Linked DNA regions of Drosophila melanogaster. The protein of the gene in region 1 interacts with the protein of each later gene in a pairwise test. Each region holds a gene or a part of one and is shown in the gene's direction. Other genes may lie near its edges. The genes, in order: Exo70 and Vps51.

Region 1 (6,703 bases):
GTCCACAACTGCGATCTTGCTGCGCTTCGAATTGATATCCAGGCAGCGAACCGCTGACACCGCAGTGGTGATGAGCAGTGGTAGTGAGTTGTTGAGAAAGATTCGGAACACTTGGCCGTTCTTCAAGCCCACCATTAGTCCTTCTCTTCCCACGGGGCCACCGGTGACTTTGATGTATCTTATGAACGAGTCCATGATCCACTCGCGCTGCAGGACACCCATGAAATCCAGACATTGGAGACGCTTCTCCTGGCACAGGACAATGTGACGGCCACAAACAACCAGCAAGCTGCAGTCGAACTTTTGCTGGATCTTCTCGCGCACTTTATAGTGCATGGGTTGATCCTCTCCAGAGCTCAGCTCATAGAGAACCACACGTTCCGGCAACTGAACCGCCAGTCGATTCCGATAAATGGCTATTTTCTGAACTAAATCTCGACACTTGATGCGCACCTTTTGGCCAGAGATCAGGTGCTGAATGATCACGTCGCACATGTTTTCCCGGAAGGCATAGCGCTCGCGGTAGAGGGCATGCACGGTACTAGACGCAATGTTGAAGCAGGCCAGGGTTCCATCTTGACACCCAATGGTGTAGGATTGACCATTGGGATGTAGGGCAACTGTCCAGATCCAGGTGTCAAAGGTATCGCCCAACGTACCCAGCCGAATGCCCTCCCTGGTGAAGAAGTGTAGACCTCCAGTGCAGCCGCCCACCAGGCAGAACTCCCCATTGGGAAAGTACTGCAGGCACAAGGGATCAAAGCCCAGGGTTCGCTCCTTGCCAATCATCTGGCCGCTCAGAGTGTGAAAGGATAGCGTTTGGCTCCAGTCCACCACACCGATGGTGTCCACACTGCCAGGACCGCTGGCCGGACAACATTGGACACTGAAGACGTTGCTGTTGGGCCCACCAGGCCGATCGATTCTCCCCTTCTCCTCGCCCAACTTGTTCCTAATGGATATGGTGCCATTGGCCAGGCCCAGGATCAGGTACTGTCCATCATTGGTCCACGAGCAGCCATTGACACGCGCGGATATCTTGTACTTTTGCACCGCCTTCTGATCAGCCGACCAAAAGGCAAAATCCGACAAGGAGCACGAGGCCAGGTGGTGCGAAACAGGATTGAAGCTCATGCACTGTATGGAGTCACCGTGCCTATGAATGTAAATATATTTTTATATTTATATAAAAAACTAGAATTTATTGCAAGTGTGCTGAGAACTCACGAATACTTGAGCAGTCCCTCAAGCTGAGGTGACCACACGATGACCATTTTATCGGAGGCTCCGCTGGCGAACCGCTTGCCATCCCGCGAGTAGGCCACACAATTGACCGTATCCTTGTGCGCCTTCAAGGTGTTCAGCAAGGAGCCATCGTTTGGATCGTAGATGAGCAACCGATCCCCCGCAGCCACCACCAATTGGCTGCCATCGGGTGCGTAGCACACATTGTGGACACTGGAAAATTGGGTTTTGCAAATACCGTTATGGCGTTATAGCAAGCAACAGGTTGTTGTTTTCCACGAATGAGAAAGCTTTACCTGATCTCATTGTCTTTGCTATTGGGAAACTCTATGCGTTCCAGCCACTTGAGAACACCCCTCATTGTTGCAGAAGTCGAATTGGCTAATCCTGCATAGTTGGTAGAAATTCCTAAATGCAGGTGCGTTGTTTACACACAGATTCCATGGCAACCAACCACAACAAAAGTTGGCGTCTTGGCTGGAGATGGCAGTTTGGCGGGTTTTTCCGTTAGTTTTGGCTTTTAAAACTAGGACTTGACTAATAAACTAGTACTAGTAGTAAAAACAATTTATTTAAAACATAGCCTCATTATCGTTTACCTAATTGTCTAAGTGTACAATATTTAAAAAAAGTTTCTATTACTATCTGAAATGACCGTTATAATTTTTTTTTTCGTGCAAAGTAGTTGGCAACGCGGTAATTGACAGTATGACCAAAGCCAGTGTGCATAAATGCCTAGTTTCGTCAAAACAAAATAAAATAGAATTGTTTTTTATATCAGAACTATTGTTTGTTTTTAAAGGATTTTAGCTACATATACGCTTGAAAATGAACAATTTGGACAGTTCATTGCAGGCGCACAATAAATTGGAGAAGGTATGTCTAGTTGTCATGCTCAAAACCTCCATACTTACCCATTTTCCTCATAGGAAGCCACCAATTTAGCTCTGCTGAAAGATCGAGTGGATAAATACCATGATCTGTCCACGCAAATGTCCAGTATTCTAACAATCTTCGAGAAGCGCCTGGGAAACCTGGAGCAGACCATATTGCCCGTCTACCAGGAGACGGAGCAGCTCCAGAAACGGCAGCAGAGTATGAAAATAAACTCAATGGGATTTCAAAAAAAAAAAACTAATGTGTCACCGCCTCTTTTTTTTTTTAGATCTGGAAGCTACTCTCAATTGTCTGGAAAGCGTCCTGTCCCACTACGATGTCTCCCAAGAGGTCTGCCAGTTGATTCATCAAGGCCCGGTGGAGGGAAACATCTCGGTGTTCCTCGACGCACTAGCCAAACTGCGCGATGCCAACGATTACTTCCGGCACAACAATTCCCAGAGCGTGGAGCTGGAGAATGTCACCAGTTTGTTTAACACCGGCTGCGAAGGCCTGAGTCAGCACTATAGTATGCTCCTCAAGAAGCACAGTGCTCCGCTGAAGCCGGTGGAGTTGCTGGATCTTATCTACATAGAGGACGATTCCAGCGATGAATACACCTCATTCCGGCAGCTTTCGCAAACGACGCGCGAGGAGCTGTACACCATATCGCACTGGTTGGAGCAAAATTTAAGGGAGTACACAAACATCTACGCGACGGAACGGGGCGAAGTGGTTCTCCGATCGCTGCAGCTGCTCAAGGATCACCAAAAGAGCAACAGTTGGGGTCACGAGGCTCTGGTGAGTAAACAGTTCTTTCATATTCTAACTAGTATTAATACATATATATTATGTGGAGAAAAATAGTACGTAGTAGAATATGAATAGCGATGTGTACGATGATGAGCATATGTATGCTTTTCCCATCTCTGATCGTTTCGGTTAACGGTGTCTGTTCGAAAAAGCTTGTGCATGTAAGCATTACATGTCCAATTCGATGACCGCCATTTGCCAGCTTGAATTCGCAAAGAACGCATCATTTTCTGTGTCACAGTATCTAAAAAAAATGGAGAATTCTCGCACGCCCACGAACAAGACCAAAATTACGCTTAATCGCACGCCAACGCTAAAGGAGCGCAGATGGAACACCCTGAAGGTGAACACCTCCAACGTGCGATGCTCTACTCCGATCTTTGGCAACTTCCGTTCGCCCAATCTCTCGCCCATCGAGAATATGGGCACGAAGGGGAAGAGTCCAGTGTCGCCCATGCGGTTCGCTACCTTCAAGAAAGTGCCAACGAAGGTGCATCCCAAGCAGCAGCAGCAGCAGCAGCATCAGCACTGCCATCGCACTCAGCTTAAGCCCCCGCCATTCGTGCTGCCCAAGCCGCAGGAGGAGATCATCGAGCCGGAGCGAGAAATAAAGAGCTGCAGCAGCCCGGATACCTGTTCGGATGACTCGAATATGGAGACCTCACTGGCCTTGGAGTCGCGTCGTCGTTCCATCAAAGCATCGAACCACTCGTACGTGGTTAACCATGCCGCCAATGTGGAACAGATTCTCATGCACATGGGCCTGGAGAACTATGTGACCAATTTCGAAGAGGCTCACATCGATCTGGTGGAACTGGCATCCTTGGAGCGTGCTGATCTTGTTAAAATCGGCCTAAATACCGATGAGGATTGCAACCGTATCATGGATGTGCTCCACACTCTTTAAGTGAATCGCTGGCATGTCCATCTTTTATCATACACTAAGATTTTAAAATGTTTTATGTGAAGAGAAACTTTGTGATTTTAATATATGTGGATAATTAAGTAGGTATTCTAGAATTATTGTAAAAGACCTGGTGTCTTAAAGCTCGTCGTTTTTAGCCTTAAATAATAAACTCTAGTACACTTTAAGAATCTATGTAATTCCTAAAATGTTGCTCCGAAGCTCATTTACAAATTTAAATTTATTTCGTAAGCTAGCAAATTGCATAATACTTTTTGTCAAAAAAAAAAAAAAAAATTGGGGTATAAACGCTTTTGTAAAACACACATTTTTAAAATTAATAAACTCATAAGAATCAAATGCATATTAAAAGGTTACAAAAATAAGAGTTTTTAATTTGCTACCATTTTAGTACCTTAATTATTCCGAAGAAACATTAATGCAATGGCAATTAACAATTCAAATTAATGTTTTTAAAATGTTTTCTTGCAGAGACCGCGACACAGTGGACGCCAAACGGAGCCAAAAAAGACAACCTCCGCTCGTCTTCAGCAAATGTGAGAAATATTACTTAATTTCCAAGTTTTCGTATATGATATATTTAATTTATTCTGCATAGATTCGAAAAGAAGGCGAACAAGTTATATTTACGCGCGACGCAGACGATTGAGCAGTCCACAGGGTTCTCCATTAAGAAGGCATCATCGCACAGCGACCACCTGACCTCCGAGGATTTGATGGATGGCGATCAGGAACTGGACAAGTATCTGGTCATGTTGCTGGGACTGCAGCGGTTACTTAACTGGGAGCGAGCCATCATGATCGACATTATTCCCCAGTCGAAACACAACGAGGTATTCGCCACCTTGGCCTATAATGCCATCGATCTGGTGGTTAAGGACGCTGAGGCCATTACGCAACGCATCCTGCGCTGCATTTCCCGCAAGGAGTGGACCTCGGCGTTGGGAATATTCTCCGCCCTAAAGCGGGTTATACTGCTGCAGCCGGATATTGACCGCACATACGATCCTGCGCAAAGGGAACAGTTGAAAAAAGTACTAAAAAAGTTGCAGCACACCGGTGCCAAGGCATTGGAGCATTTCCTGGACGTAGTCAAGGGCGAATCGAGCACCAATATTGTGGGCCAAAGCAATGTTCCAAAGGATGCCACCGTGCACGAGCTGACCTCCAATACGATCTGGTTTATTGAGCACTTGTACGATCATTTCGATGTTATTGGTTCCATTTTGGCACAGGATGTCCTGTACTCCACGCAATTGGACACCATTTTGATGAAGAAGGCGCTGCCAGTCGAGGAACGCAATAAGGCGCTCTTGGCGATTTACATAAGTGAGTGGCAACAAGATCAATTGTGCGAACATTTTTAAACCACTATCTATATTTTGCAGAGAAAGCTTTGGCCGAACTGAATCTTTCCATAATGAACAAGTGCGAGCAGTACAATGACCAGGCCACCAAGCACCTCTTCCGACTAAATAACATTCACTATATCCTCAAGTCGCTGCAACGCTCCAATCTTATTGATTTGGTCACCTTGGCTGAGCCTGAGTGCGAACATAGCTACATGGAGATGATACGTGAACTGAAGGCTAGCTATCAAAAGACCTGGTCCAAGATGCTGGTCGGCATCTATTCCTTGGATGAACTGCCCAAACCAGTGGCCGGCAAGGTCAAGGATAAGGATCGCAGTGTGCTCAAAGAGAGATTTTCTGTAGGTTTTTATTTTTAAAATAAGCTAAACTTTCTTGATTTAAAAAAAAACATCCTCTATAATTTCCAGAACTTCAATAAGGACTTTGAGGAGGCATGCAAAATCCAGCGGGGCATCTCCATACCCGATGTGATCCTGCGAGAAGGCATCAAACGTGATAATGTGGAGCACATACTGCCCATCTACAATAGATTCTACGAAATGTAAGCGTATATAGGGTTTATCAGCTTATACCTAACCATCTTGTATCATTTTTAGTTACTCTGGAGTGCATTTTAGTAAGAATCCCGACAAATACGTCAAGTACAGACAGCACGAGATCAACGCTATGCTGAGCAAGCTCTTTGATGATTCGGCTTAGATGTTAAATGCAGGCCAGGCTTTAAGTGCATTCCTTGTAAGTTCGTTGGGGGGCTTTAATTCAAACTCAATAAATATCGTTTTAAAAAAAGTACAATACAAGACTATAGCCTACAAATATTAAATGCCAAGTGAAATGAAGACGCCACGCATACATACGTCCTAGTAAAGGAAGTTAGTGGATGGTGCTTCGGGGCGGCCACAGGCGCCGTAGTAGTTGACGTTCACCGTCTGGTTCGCCCTGCAGTTTTCGATCTCCAGGAAGCAGTCGTTCAGATACGTTTTATTGTCGCTGCCGCAAACAGGCTCGAATTCCCTGGGACAGATGCGGGCACATCCTTTAAGCTGAAAGGCGGCAAGGCAGCGCTTCAGTGGCACCACGAAAACATGCTTGCCACAATTCTCCTTGCGCATGTGGCACTCGGACTTGTACAAGTTGTTGTCCGATCCGCAGACGAAACTTGGCGGCTGGGCATCACAATCCGATTCGCAGTCGGCGGTTAAAGCGCAATTCTTTAGCGAAACGGGCACCACACGCAGATCGCAAGTGCGCCGCTTGAACTCGCACATGGAGGCGAAGGTGTTGCCATCCGAGCCGCACACTGGCTGCTGTTCCAGATCCGCCCGAGTACAGGCATCCCCGCAATCCTTGGTGGGCGAATTGAGATCCGTGCAGGGACCAATGTGGGCCAGATTCACGCCGCGTCTGAAAAGAAGTTGAAGAGCTAGATCCATGTCCTATGGATGATCCTATCATGGATACTCACAGGCAG
Region 2 (5,201 bases), on another chromosome or scaffold:
TTCGACGCTTTCCGCCGCCCTCACGTCCTTCAGCTTTTCACTTTTTTTTTTTGTTATATTTCGCTCGGCTTACGTAAATTCAATTTTCAGTTTGATGAAAGCAAAGTTCATGCCACACACAAGCGCGAGTGTGTGACACACTGTCCCACTGTCGGTCTTTTCTTTTTTTGTTTGTCTAACCTTTAAGAAGACCATTGCAATTAAAAGTTTTAGTTTTCAATCATAGAAATGATTTGGAATATGAATAATGGTTATTCATTACAAACATATAATAGCATAGTGTGTTGCGAATTAGGATCCTCATCAAACTCCTCATTGCTATACATTTTTCTCAGTGCACATGATACAAGTTTGGAGGCTGATGGCATTGGAGAGCGTGTGATTTGCACAATCTGCACACAACTCGAAATTAAATTCGGCCCCGGCAACAGCTCGAACTTTTTTGCGAAAGGTCAAAATGTTAATGTATTTGAAATGAGACGCCACAAAGGAACGAGAGCGAAAGGAGCCCAGGATAAAATATAGTGCGAATGGTGGGAAAATTACGGGGAATGCTGCAGGGCCAGCAGCCGAAAAGCGAGACTCAGATGCGAGATACAGCAGCACAGGGAACTTTAGGCCCTCGGAATGTGGCAAAAACTTGTCCATGTTCATTCAACTTGACACGGTCGCCAGCGGGCAGACGAACTCCCACCGAAATAAAAAAGGACGCACCAAGAAGTACAAACAACTGCTACATATTTATGCCACGACACTGAAAATACCCATTACAAAAAATGATTTAATGATGTTTAAAAGATATTAAAACTGTAACATAGGGCAATTCAGAATTCAGAAGAATATATCTTTCAATAAGCGTTACATAGTTAATCGCAGTTTCGAAATACCCAACGACAGGGTATAAGACCTTAACAAAAAAGATGTCTGGTAGTGTGGAGGCGGTGGGCGTGGAATGTTTAATGCGATTTGCCACACGTAACTCAGTCTGGGGAGACTGTTGAATTACTTAGGATACAGAAGCCCACATCGTGTTCTACTTTTGTGCTTTATTGAGCCAGGTGATATACAAAGTTATTTGCCATGATTTGGGTCCAAAATGCACAGCATTGTCACGGGGTCCGTTAAGCAATCTACAAAATGTTTAAGTAATTAGGTACATTAGTTAACTAACATTTTGTTGTTACTAACCAGCAGTCACAAATGAGCTGCACAGAGCTGCAATTAATGCGGAAACAAAGAGTAATAGCTTCATGTTGTGATTGCTTTAATAAAACCTTTTACATTAATGCCATTTATGAAAAACAAACAAGTATTTTCTTATCAGTTTGAAATGGGAGATTCCCAATAACAAAGCCGCGATTAGAATAAAAATGACAGAGAGCTTTGCAAACTAAGATAATCTCAGTTCACGTCTCTCACGATTTAATACCAATTCATCACACACCTATGTGCCTAAAAATAAAAACAAAAAGAAAAAACAATAAAAAAGATAATAAAATAATATATTTAATAAAGACACTAACTTTATAAATACTCAGAAAAATATTAAAAATTAAAATTCTTTCAATATAATGCCATAGCAGTACTATTCTGCATTAACATTTAACTGTCTAAATTATTATTCACTTAATAATATAATAATAATATAATAATATTTCTATTTAATTTAAAATAAAAAGTTGCTAAACGCGCACCGTTCAAAAAATGATTGTGTGGCGGTATTGGATATCGATAACAATATTGGTAGTCAGCTGTTAAATGAGGGAAACATTTTTCGTTGCCCAACACACCTTAACTTATCGATATACGAAAAAAACGATAAATCTTCAGCAACAACAAGTTCACAACATTTAGTTTATTTATTTATTTAGACTAGTGGTAAAAAAAAGTTCTACAAAATGGCTGAAACCAAAGCCAATCCCTTCGACATGGACAGCTCCAGCTTCGATGCGGAAAAGTATCTGGAAAGGTTGCTCAAGGTAAGAACAACAAAATAGTGAAGTAATAATCATTAACTTATGCACTTTTTGTTCTGGCTGTTACTCACAAATAAAGGATTGCTCCTTAAAGCAAATAATGGATACGGAGGCGGCGGTGGTCAAGGACACACAGACATTGCACTCTGATATGCAGACGCTGGTCTACGAGAATTACAACAAATTCATCTCCGCCACGGATACAATTCGCCGGATGAAAGATGACTTCAAGCAGATGGAAACGGATGTGAACCTACTGATGACCAAGATGCAATCCATAACGACTTTTAGTGAGCAAATAACCGGAACGCTGCAGGGCACCAGATCGCAACTATGTCGCCTGTCCGAGAAACACTCGCTCCTCAAAAGGCTGCAGTTTCTCTCAACTCTGCCAGCTAAACTGAAGTCCCTCATCGAGGAACAGAACTACGCACAAGCTGTCCAGGACTACCTGCATGCCCAGAAGGTGTTCGCCCAGTACGGTCGACAGCCGTCCTTCGATGGAATCCAGCGAGATTGCGACGCCATCATGGCAGATCTCAAGGAGCAATTGCGAAGTGACTTTCAAAGGGCTGGGAACACGGCCCAATCCTTGACGGAAATTGGAGAGCTACTCCTGCAGCTGGACGAAAAGACTTCGGATCTGGCAAGCGAAATGCTGACTTGCGCTGGCAAACGACTGCACGAGCAAATCGTCATGCTGCAGGATCAAACAGAGCGTGATATGCTGGAGTTTGTGGACATGGGCATCGATGGTTTCCTCAACGATCTGGCACTGGTAGTGACTTCCTACTTTGACATGTTTGTGGCCAAGCACTACGAGCATGAGCGGTAAATTGAACAATATTTTGTATAATCTTAATTGAGTTTTATTATCCATTCCATTTTCAGCGATGACTTTCAGGAGAACGCCCTGCAGGAGCTAAATGTCTTCCTCAATCAGAACATCGAAAAGTATCTGACACTCGTCCAGGATCGTGTTGAGTCCGACATTGGCTACGGCGATACCCAGGTAATGCTACGCGCTCTGGATCGACTTCATCGGCGCCTTCAGGCCATGCGAAATATCTGCCGCGGCTTGGAGGTCCAACGCAACACAGTATCTATCATTATTTCGGCTGCCCACCAACTATGCGATGCCCATGCCAAAAACCTCAAAGATCACTTTGCCGACAGTTTGAGTGCGGTTCGTCTGTCGCTGGTTTCTGCCAAGAGCGATGCAGCTGCTGGTCTCAATCTCGGTGATCTGATAAGCAACCTTTATGTGTCCATGGTGGAGAAAATAAAGGGTGTACTGCAGGACTTGCTTATATTCCTGCGCACCGACTGGTCGTTTAACATCAAGGCGGAACACAAGGGCGCCCTGTGCGTAGAGGGCATTCGGGAGAACCTACTCATTGGCTTCCTACGTCATATTGCCAAGGTGATGTGTGGTTTCGGAGATGCCTCCAGCTCCAGTCCACCCAATCTACTGCTGGTGCTGTCGAAAACGTGTCTGGAACTCGAGCAACAGGGCGTTCACATACTGGTGAGCTTTCTATTGCAACTATTTTTGATTCCCTAACAAACTAAATCCTCAGATTGCTCTGGTTGATGACCTGTACGAAATCGACTCGGAGAACAGTGCAACGCTTACCCACGAAACTGAGATATGTGCTGAAATGCGGGAGACGGCACAGTCACTATTGGACGCCTATGTGCGGCTGCAGGGCACCAATATCTCGCAAATGTTACGCAAGAGCGTGGAAACAAGGGATTGGCTTAACTGCCTGGAACCACGATCCGTTCGTGCGGTGATGAAGCGTGTGGTGGAGGAACTCGGCAGCATCGAGACGGTGGTGGCCAGTCTGTACGAGGCAAACACTAATGCAACGTCAGGATTCCGCACCACAGCGAGCAGTGACTCTAGCCGAAAAACATATTTCAGTAACTTTGCTTCCACCTCAAAGCCACAGTATCGTTCCAATTGGTCAAACTACACGCCTTCGCAGCTGGAATCCAGCTATGTGTCCAACATACATCGCTTGTTTTCGGAGCGAGTGGAAATCTTTACTTCAGTAGAGTTCACCAAGGCCTCAATTATAATGGGAATTATTAAAATTGGTCTAAAAGTAAGTGAGTTTATGAAATGAAGGTGGCTATTTACGTGATTTATGTTTCTAGACCCTTTTGGAATGCGTGAGGCTGAGAACTTTTAGCAAATTCGGACTTCAGCAGATTCAGGTGGATGCTCATTATCTGCAAATGAACCTATGGCGATTTGTAAGCGATGAAAAGTGAGTTAGTTTCGAAAACTGAAAGATATGATAAACTAAACACACTTGTTTGGCAGTCTGGTGAACTTCCTGCTGGACGAGATTCTTGGCTCAGCTGTGCAAAGGTGCTTGGAGTCCGTTTTAATGGAGCCCAATGCTGTGGAAATTATTTGTGAACGGGGTTAGTATTTGTTTCCACAACATAAAGCAACATTCCACTTAAAATCTCCGTCTATTTTGTTAAACGCTGCTAGCTTAAGGATCTAAAAATAAACACCCTGTTTCTAATTTAGATAGTTATTTAAAATGTCTAGGAAATTGACTTCATTTTTTTTTTGTTAGAAAAATCTTTCAAATTCCAATTCTGCCATTTTTTAACTGTGCTGGTTACGGGTACACCAAATGTAACAGAAATCATTTTCAATCTGTGGTATCGGCACTGAGACACAGAGTGAACTCGATGGTATCTCCCTTAATATCCTCCTCGGTATTTGTCAGCAGAATGCTGTGGGATTCCCCATCTTCGCCCGTTGAGATGGTCAACACGCTGGGTGTCTCCTCCTCGATGGCTTTTCGTTTCTCGGTGCGTGCCTTCCTTGCCTCCTCGAACTCTTTGGGATGACACTTCCTACGATGCGTGTGCTGATTCGCATTGGAGTTAAATGTTTTCGGGCAGTGAGGACACTTGTAAAGCACCTCGCCCGTATGCATGGTCATGTGTTCCCTCAGTGTGATGGCCTTTTTGAAGGCTTTATTGCACACACTACATTCGTGCTTCCTATCCGTGAGATGCACATATCGCTGGTGACTCAGCATGGCACTCCTATTGGGCGAAACCTTTCCACACAGATCGCAAGTGGCAGCAGTGCCATTATGTCGCCGCACATGCTTCTTGAGACTGTGCTTGTTCTTATGCCAGGATCCGCAGATGTCGCACTGAACCTTGGGCTCCGTGACACCAGCGTGCTCC

What was found.
Region 2: the proteins of Exo70 (region 1) and Vps51 interact in a two-hybrid assay, tested with the Drosophila melanogaster proteins (2 studies listed by BioGRID).

The regions. Positions count from the first base shown.
Region 1 is NT_037436.4:8,409,888-8,416,590, forward strand, and holds Exo70 (exocyst 70), read left to right. Parts: upstream 1-1,963; 5' UTR 1,964-2,073; coding exon 2,074-2,121; intron 2,122-2,159; exon of another isoform or gene 2,160-2,174; coding exon 2,175-2,340; exon of another isoform or gene 2,341-2,410; coding exon 2,411-2,922; exon of another isoform or gene 2,923-2,938; intron 2,939-3,124; exon of another isoform or gene 3,125-3,187; coding exon of another isoform or gene 3,188-3,841; exon of another isoform or gene 3,842-4,216; intron 4,217-4,330; coding exon 4,331-4,395; intron 4,396-4,457; coding exon 4,458-5,188; intron 5,189-5,247; coding exon 5,248-5,570; intron 5,571-5,639; coding exon 5,640-5,773; intron 5,774-5,828; coding exon 5,829-5,931; 3' UTR 5,932-6,023; downstream 6,024-6,703. Other genes in the region: Oseg1 (outer segment 1), read right to left, coding at 1-1,156, 1,228-1,458, 1,542-1,606; mtrm (matrimony), read left to right, coding at 3,188-3,841; CG32354 (uncharacterized protein), read right to left, coding at 6,093-6,636, 6,698-6,703. UniProt on the Drosophila melanogaster protein: Required for exocytosis. Thought to function in intracellular vesicle targeting and docking before SNARE complex formation.
Region 2 is NT_033778.4:18,707,473-18,712,673, reverse strand, and holds Vps51 (vacuolar protein sorting 51), read left to right. Parts: upstream 1-1,808; 5' UTR 1,809-1,898; coding exon 1,899-1,979; intron 1,980-2,055; coding exon 2,056-2,807; intron 2,808-2,867; coding exon 2,868-3,504; intron 3,505-3,556; coding exon 3,557-4,087; intron 4,088-4,139; coding exon 4,140-4,252; intron 4,253-4,308; coding exon 4,309-4,417; 3' UTR 4,418-4,522; downstream 4,523-5,201. Other genes in the region: CG15073 (uncharacterized protein), read right to left, coding at 4,652-5,201. UniProt on the Drosophila melanogaster protein: May act as a component of the GARP complex that is involved in retrograde transport from early and late endosomes to the trans-Golgi network (TGN).